Mus musculus: one gene and its partner. Each later gene encodes a partner of the first gene's protein in a complex. Links are inferred from orthologs where the notes say so. Each region holds a gene or a part of one and is shown on either strand. Other genes may lie near its edges. The genes, in order: Lrrk2 and Rab29.

What was found.
Region 2: the proteins of Lrrk2 (region 1) and Rab29 are in contact, whole or in part, in a cryo-EM structure (PDB 8FO2), measured with the Homo sapiens proteins. The link is inferred for Mus musculus from reciprocal best matches to the Homo sapiens genes LRRK2 and RAB29. Residues at the interface, in NP_940980.4 of Homo sapiens: Arg361, Lys362, Arg399, Met402, Leu403, Leu406, Met407, His408, Leu437, Ser438, Lys439, Gly440, His442, Leu443, Asn444, Glu447; in NP_001129134.1 of Homo sapiens: Leu7, Val42, Asp43, Phe44, Ala45, Leu46, Arg58, Gln60, Trp62, Leu76, Tyr77.

The regions. Positions count from the first base shown.
Region 1 is NC_000081.6:91,725,041-91,728,853, forward strand, and holds part of Lrrk2 (leucine-rich repeat serine/threonine-protein kinase 2), read left to right. Parts: intron 1-892; coding exon 893-1,021; intron 1,022-1,096; coding exon 1,097-1,267; intron 1,268-3,813. UniProt on the Homo sapiens protein: Serine/threonine-protein kinase which phosphorylates a broad range of proteins involved in multiple processes such as neuronal plasticity, innate immunity, autophagy, and vesicle trafficking.
Region 2 is NC_000067.6:131,865,880-131,870,235, forward strand, and holds the start of Rab29 (ras-related protein Rab-7L1), read left to right. Parts: upstream 1-1,397; 5' UTR 1,398-1,531; exon of another isoform or gene 1,532-1,639; 5' UTR 1,640-1,772; coding exon 1,773-1,896; intron 1,897-4,053; coding exon 4,054-4,125; intron 4,126-4,356. UniProt on the Homo sapiens protein: The small GTPases Rab are key regulators in vesicle trafficking. Essential for maintaining the integrity of the endosome-trans-Golgi network structure.

The DNA of each region.
Region 1 (3,813 bases):
CCGGTCCCACCTCGGCTGCCACACTTTCATGTCTAGAACTTCTTGTGAGGCTTTCGGCGACAGACTTCTGAGAACCTTACAATCTAAATATACTTTTTCTCAAGTATCTGTATTTGCCGAATTCAGCATCTTAAGAGAACAAAATCATCTCTGTGTCTATGCCTAGACAGATTGTTCTGATGTTGCTGTAGAGGGTAGGCCGACCTTTTGAGAATTTACTCACTGTCTTCAGTGCTGAAGCCCTTTGTGGAAAGGACACTTCCTTGAAGCACTGCATAGGCAGAGAGGCCTGGTGGCCTTAGCAAGCTTGAGTCCCTTCTAAGAAGCAATGTTGCTGTTTGTATGAAACCTACCACAAGGACACACCCTTTATTTTGCCTTTGGAGCTTCAGACAATTGTGCTAAACAACAGTGAGATCAGGAGGAGTTGTTTGCCTCTGAGGTAGAAGAAGTGTATGCAGGAGCTAGCATGAAAAGGCGGAAGAAGTGCTGGACTCCATTACTACTGTGCCCTCCTGATGTCAAGATGTCCGCTTTGCATCCAGATGCCACCAGCTGTTCTAATCCCGGGCAACACGTAGCTTTCCTCTGGCATGTCTGGTTTCCCAAAGGAACCTTTAATGGCCAAATTTGAGAGGATTAAGTATTTGAGGATGGCTTGCCAGCTAGCACTTGTTCTCCTTGTCCTTAATATATTTCTTAGTTCCAGGAAAGGGAGACATTTGTAGTTATTTCAAGGTTTACTGCTGTCAAGCTCAAGTTTAAGTCTTTCTCTTTAGTTAAAAGAGCAAGCAGGGTCTTAAATATCATATATGAAGTGCTGTATAACATTGAACTTTTTTTTGCCCATGACTATTACATCATTTACTATTATTTTTGCTTGCACTTTCAGGGATTACAGACAACCCTGTCAATACTTGAGCTGTCAGTATCTTTCTCCAAGCTGCTAGTGCACTATTCCTTTGATGTGGTGATATTTCATCAGATGTCTTCCAGTGTTGTAGAACAAAAGGATGAGCAGGTATGGGTTTGCTGCCTGTGGGCTAAACCCTATCCTTCAGGGGCTGCCTCTCATCTTCATTCCTGTTCTTTCTAGTTCCTCAATCTATGTTGCAAATGCTTTGCAAAAGTGGCCGTGGATGATGAGCTGAAAAACACCATGCTAGAGAGAGCCTGCGATCAGAATAACAGCATCATGGTTGAATGTTTGCTCCTCTTGGGAGCTGATGCCAACCAAGTGAAGGGGGCAACTTCTTTAATCTATCAGGTAAATATTCCAGTCCTTACTTTTGTTTGTCTTCATTATTAGTCTCCTCCCTCCTCTTGGACATTGTTCCCTCATTAAATGGTTTATTGAAACATAATAGGTCACACAATTTGCCTGTTTAAAGTATATAATTCAGGAATATATAATTCTGCAACAGGAGGATCACCAGTGAGTTTGAAGTCAGCTAGAGCAATACACTGACATAGGGAGAGCCCATCTCTGATTGGATGTACAAGGCTATGTGCTTGTGTTTGTGTAGAGTTGAACTGGTATTGCCAGAGTCAATGCTAGAACGTGTTCATCACTGCACAGTTAAATCTCATAAGCAGTGGCCCAGTTCCTATTTCGTTCCCCCGGACATCTGTGTACTTCTGTCTTTGGCTCCGGGTAACCACTTGCTTATTTTGTCTTTATGTATTCATCTATTTGAAAAGTTTAAAATCATGATCTCATGGCTATGTATCTGTGACTGGCAATTTCCTACCGCTTTCCGTGTGATGCCAGCCTCCAGCAGCACCGTTCTATTCTCAGATCTACTCTATCAACTTTGTATTCTAGGATACGTGACATGGCGTGTCATTTTTTGGTTTTGCTTACCTTATTCTCCTCATTTGTTGGTCTGGAGTTTTATCCATGTTGTGATTCCGCGATGAGGTTATGATAAATGAGACTGAGTAGCCTTCCATTTTGTAAATACATTATCTTCCTCCACTCATGTCATAGTGGGCCCCTGGATGGATTACATATCTTTATTAAAGTGAATATTGCTGAACATGGGATTGTAAATGTTTTTCAATATTTCAGTTAAGGTTAGTCACAATGAATGATTAAATATGGGGAAAATTGTCTTCCAGGTGACAGGTGATTTTTTGCTCTGACAGCAAAAAATCAGTAGTTTGAGACCAAGTGGGGTATCTGAGGGAAGGGAGGTCCTGCACCATGAGGAGTTGGTTTTGGATGTGACCTGTGCTACATGGCTGTGATCTGGTGCCTGGTTGTGGGTAGTACGGGTACTGGAAGCATGACTGTGAGAGGTGTGGTGGGGGGGGAAGACCACAGGGGCTGGACATGACCTGTCCCTCTTCACAGCAGCTTGAAGGTCTGGGTTGAAATAGGCATCGCTTGTTCTTGGCCACCTCCACTGTGAAGCATACTGCTTTTCCTTTTCCTCTCAGCCTTTCTCCTCAAACAATGAAAGCAGGTAGCTAATCATCCTCTTCCTCCAGACTCCAATAAAACTATTTCTTAAATTCTTCCCTCTACAGCCAGACCTGAGACAAAAATCGAGATTTACTTCTGCAGGTCCATGAGAGTTTAATGTAAGCTTCCATTATATTTTAGGGTTTAAATTTAAATTCCAAAATATTTTACGTTGTACACTATAATAGAAGTGTACGGTATTCACCTTTGAATTGTCCAGAATGTTGAATTCATGGAATTGTTTTGTGACTCTTACTTCAGAGTCTTAAACAAGCATTTGTTGATAGGGCACCAATAGCTGACCAAGGGACATTTCCCTCTAAGTCTAGCCTGTGAACCAGTGAGCTTACTGGAGTTATTTATAGGAGCATGAGTTACTCAAAGACAGCTGCATTATGGGAAAGCCCACCCCAGCAGGTGTAATGACCCATGAAGTTTGTATCCCTGGAGCTCCCAGCCCAACACAAAGGAAGGTCCATTAGAGTCTCCCCATCCTAGATATTGTCCACTGTTGGGGACAACCTTGGGAAGGGGGCTTTTACAACGTGTAGCTTTCTGAGTTTCTGAGATCCCTAGGTCTCCCAAGGCTGGGCAGCTTCTTGAGTCCCATGAGCCTCCTCTCTTCTTTGAGGAGGGTATGTTTTAACAGGGCATCTACGTAACAAGTATGAGTGTAGTAGATGTCCACAAAAGCGCAGTAGCCTAGGTTAATAAGAAAGGAGTTTTGTGGACCTGTTTAGAAAGAGTTCCTTGGGGGTGATTCCATTCTTCATTGTCAGGATACCAGAAGTCCAGTTCATCAGCAAACACCAAACACGAATTATTAGCGGTGGCGCGATCTTGCAGAAAAAACAAGGCTGTGCAGAAACAATTGGCACGCGTCAGTGGGAGTGGCCTGAATACTAGGAGAAGTTCTTTGGAGCGATTCTCTCTATGAAGTGAAGACCACTGAAGACCAGCAAAACGTTGCAGGGGGTAGCAATGCAAGAGCATCCTCTCACTGTTTGTGAAGTTCTGATTATATTCATTCTAAACATCACACACCCTCTCAAGGGTCTGTTTTCAGCAAACCATCAAATGCCCTCTCACGACAGCTTCCAGAAAAACATCACATCACACCACTGAGTTGTTAAGGAAACCAGAAATGTCCACTTCAAAGGGTGATGAGGTCTCTTCAAGCCATTGACTGGCAGCTGCAAGATTATTAGATTTATGCTAGCCTTGCATCTGTGGCAATAATTTCATTTTATCTTTTATGTCTACTACAGGAATAAGTTTTGCCTTATTTCATTTCATTTCAACCTAATTTTGAGGTATGAAGATTGACCATAGCAAGCTCTGTTTTT
Region 2 (4,356 bases), on another chromosome or scaffold:
GTAGTGGAAGAAACCAGCCCCAAATGTGTACGAGCTTGCGCACATGAGCACACACACAAAGCTGCATACTGTGTGCATGCATTCCAGTGGAGGGAGTAGAAGCAGAAACAGAAGCAAATGGATCTGGAGCTCAAAGCCAGCCTGGGCTACATAGACTCTGTCGAAAGGAAAAAAGAAAGAAGAGAAGGAGAAGGAGGAGGGAGAGGAGGAGGAGGAGGGCTGGAGATGTAGCTCCGATGGTAGAGGACTTGCCTAGCATGCCTGGATTTACTCTCCAAAACTACAAAACTGGATGTTGTTACAATTGAACCACAAGTTCTATGGTCTACTGTCAGAAGTTGACACCAACTTAGGCTACAGAAAATCCTCTCTCAAACAAAAAACAAACAAACAAACAAACAAACAACAACAAAACAGCCAAAAGGGGAAAAAAGTGAAGCTTATTCTACTAGCCACAATTTCTAGCTAAAGGACAGGCAGGACAGAAAAATTACAGGTAGGAAAAGTAAAAATATTTGCCAATCATTTTATGAGTATTCAGAATTAATAGCAGCAACAAAAGGAAATGTCCTGGTGCTCAAACGCTATGCGTGGCTGGTGTAAGAAATGTGGAAGTGTCAATGAGGAACTATCTCTTGTTTATTCTGCATTGTTATTGCTATAGCTAGTTATTAAGTGTTGTAACTTTTGACATAGATTTTTTTTAAAAGGTTGATCTTTTGGGTCAAATGTCCCCAAATGTGCCTGTTATTGGTCATATGGAAAATTTGACCTTGTCTTTACAAGGCTCGAGATTTGACTCTGTAGTTAAGACAACAGGAAATGGACTTCACTTGGAACTTGGACATTTATCTTTGTGTTATAAAACCTTTAAAATATGGCTAATAAGAAAGGCCGTCTAGAAATCTTTAAAATGTGATTTTAAGAAAACATCTGGGGGAAAGATTTAGACAGGAGAGATCATGGTCTACGTAGTTCAGGGTGACCCAAAGTTGCTTCCAATCTCTTGTCTTGCTCTGGGGAGAGGAAGTGGTGGGGTTAGGGGTCCTTGAACACACTTGTTGCAGAAGACGATGGATGAACTAGGGTTTTATGATCCTCCTATTTCCATCTCCCCAAGGCCTGGATTGCAAACCTGTGCTTCGACGCCAAACTTTAGAATTGTTTTTAAATAGATTTCTAAATTCTTTAAAGTTTGAAAACCTTAAAACTTTTATGTAAATTTGCTCAAGATAGCTAGGAAACTACATTTCCCAAGAGTGTACGTGGCAAGTCGCCACACTGGTCTGGTCGCTTTACCAAGAGGCACACTGGGAAATGTAGTTCTCCGAGCAGTGGGGCTCACAACGTTTTTGACGGAAGACTGGGAAGTGCGCCGCCAGTGGCAGGACGGGGACCGGACAAGGACTCTGCACAACCTCAATTTTGTGTGTGCGGTCCGAGAAAGGGTCTAAGTCATCTGTACTTCTCTAAGCAAGGTGCTGGCCACGGTTCAATGCTGGCGAGCGACTCGGAGGTCCCTGAAAGGAAGGTGCCAATCGCGGAGGGTCGAGCTGGTACCCGCCCCACCCAGGCTGCGGCCGCGCGGGGAGGAAGCGCGCACAGGCCGAGTGCAAAAGTTTCCTTTTCTGCTTTCCAGTCAGAGAAGCTTCAACCAACCGAGGGTGGAGATGCCTGACTTCAATTGGAAGAGAACCCGGGAGCCAAAGGGGTTGAAATAAGCGACTTCCCGGAAAAACAAACTATCAAAAAACCTCTCCCCACCACTAGCCATGGGCAGCCGAGATCACCTGTTTAAAGTGCTGGTGGTGGGGGACGCCGCCGTTGGCAAGACGTCTCTGGTCCAGCGCTACTCCCAGGACAGCTTCAGCAAGCACTACAAGTCCACCGTGGGAGGTGAGCGGTCACGGGTGACTAGGAGCAGGGGTCGAGGCTCGCAGCCGGTAGCCTCTGGGTACCGAGGTTGCCTCTAAGGGGTCCCCAGCCTACCTACAAAGATAGGGCCAAAGTATACAGGTGAGAGATGGTGAAGGGGTCTGAGCCGGGGACTATTCACCGCAGAGAGCAGAGCCCTCCCGCAGCCATGCGCTGCCCAGAGCAACTTCTCCAGTCAGCAAAGTCAGCTGAGTCCCGGTTCAAGTGCAGGCTGGGGCAGTTACCCTGCTTCCTACCAGCATCCGACGGGTGTTGAGGAAAGAACCCCGTTACCTTAGGAGGAAAGCCCAGGAGCTAAGCAGTCAGAGGTGTGGGGAAGACTGGAGGACAGATTCCGGTCAGGTCTGATGAGCCCTATGGTGTCATTAGTGAACTGAGTGGGAAATGTGAGGAATTCACGAAAGAATGTGAAATACCCTCGAGTGGCCTGTCGTCTTCTCTTGCACTGGGGAAGGCAGGGAGGAAGAGAGAAAGAAGCACTAAAAGTAAATTCATTTCTTTCCCAGTGTGGCCTTTGGACTCTGCTGAACTGTCCACCTGTCGGTCTGTCTACCCCAAACACACAGACACAGACACAGATACACACAGACACACACACACCTCCACCACCACCACAAGGAGAAGGTAGTTAACAAGGTTACAGTAATGTGAAAGAATAAAATTACATTTGTTTTTTTTATTTTGTTTTGTTTGAGACAGGGTTTCTCTGTATAGCCCTGGCTGTCCTGGAACTCACTCTGTAGACCAGGCTGGCCTTGAACTCAGAAATCTGCCTGCCTCTGCCTCCCAAGTGCTGGGATTAAAGGCATGCGCCACCACGCCCAGCACATAAAATTACATTTGTACCAACACAGATTTACATGTGAAAGTTTTTTTATTAACTCTTTTCTTTGAAATGAAAACTTTATAGAATATTTCAAAAACTGTTTCCTGACTACTTTGCCCACCACTCCTAAATACAAGTCCTTATTTCATGGATTTTGGGTTAAAAATGTCCTGTGAATTAATTTTTACCAGTGGACTGTTTTCCGACAGTATGAACATACTGATTCTGGCAAGTTTTGTTTGTTTTTCCCAATGTTTATTATAAATTCTCCCTCGTTTTCACTTCTGTCACAGATGTAGAAGAAAGAATATGTTTCTGAACTGAAATTATTCTGTGTTTCTCCTTAACAAGTAGCTTTTCCAGCATAGTGTGGTTGTCTCTACCTTTAATTCTAGCATTCAAGAGGTTGAGGCAGGAGGATCTCAAGTTGGAGCTAGGCTCTACTATCCGACTTTGGGAGGTTCCCCTGGAATAGCTGTTCAGTCCAACCTCATGGAGTTTCAGCATCTGCAGACCCGTGGGGGATTCAGCACAGCTCTTAAGCAGCATCCATGTCTCAACCTCTGCCATCTTGTTCATTTAACCAGTACCTGCTGGACATATACCATAGCCTTAAGGAGGATACAGAGGTTTTCACTGTATTTTCTCATAATACTGTTTGATTAGATACTAACAGTGAAGTTAAGATGGAAGATACAAAGCTAACCACCTTACCTTCCTTTCCTCCATCTCCCCCACCATTCTTTCCTTGAGAACCCCCCACTTAAAAAACATCCCAGAAACCATTTAACCTGAGAACAGGAATAATGGTCATAACCATGCCCATAACTTTCTTGATCCTAGCCAAGGAGATAATCAGTGTGAAATAATTTGATCTGAGAGAGGAGAAAACACTGAAGACCGTTTGGAGAGTACGGATTATGTGTCCCAACACAAATGTACCATGGGGGCTCCTCTCCATCGCCAGAAGGTTTAAACCTAATTGGAGTGTTGTGATCCTGGGGTTGTCACTGTATATTTATTTGATCTGAGCTTGTGCTAGGACTAAAAAAAAAAAAAAAAAAAAAAAAAAAAAAAAAAAAAAACCATTTACTGTGTGTGTGTGTGTGTGTGTGTGTGTGTGTGGACATGTATTCTGTGACATACTTGTGGAAGTCAGAAGCCAGTTTATAGGCTTGGGCTATAGGGATTTAACTTGGGTTGTCAGGGTTAGCCACAAATGCCTTCATCTCACTCTCAGAACCATCGTAAAGACATGTTTTTGTTAAAGTACAATATTCATATATTTTCAGTGGATTTTGCTCTCAAGGTTCTCCAGTGGTCTGACTCAGAGATGGTGCGGCTGCAGCTCTGGGATATTGCAGGTAAAATGGGAAAACCAGGCAGTAACAAGGGGAGAAATTATTTACCCAGCAAGCTGTTTGGGGGGCGGGGGGAGGGGGGAATGAATATGGAATGGCAAAGCTGACTTTTTTTCCCCCTGAAGCTACAAGTTTGAGCTGCTCTGAGCTTTTGGGATGATTTTGGAGACATATTGCTCCAAAGACAAAGAGACATAGTGCCATCTGTGCGTGGGTGGAAAGCCTCTAAGGTGG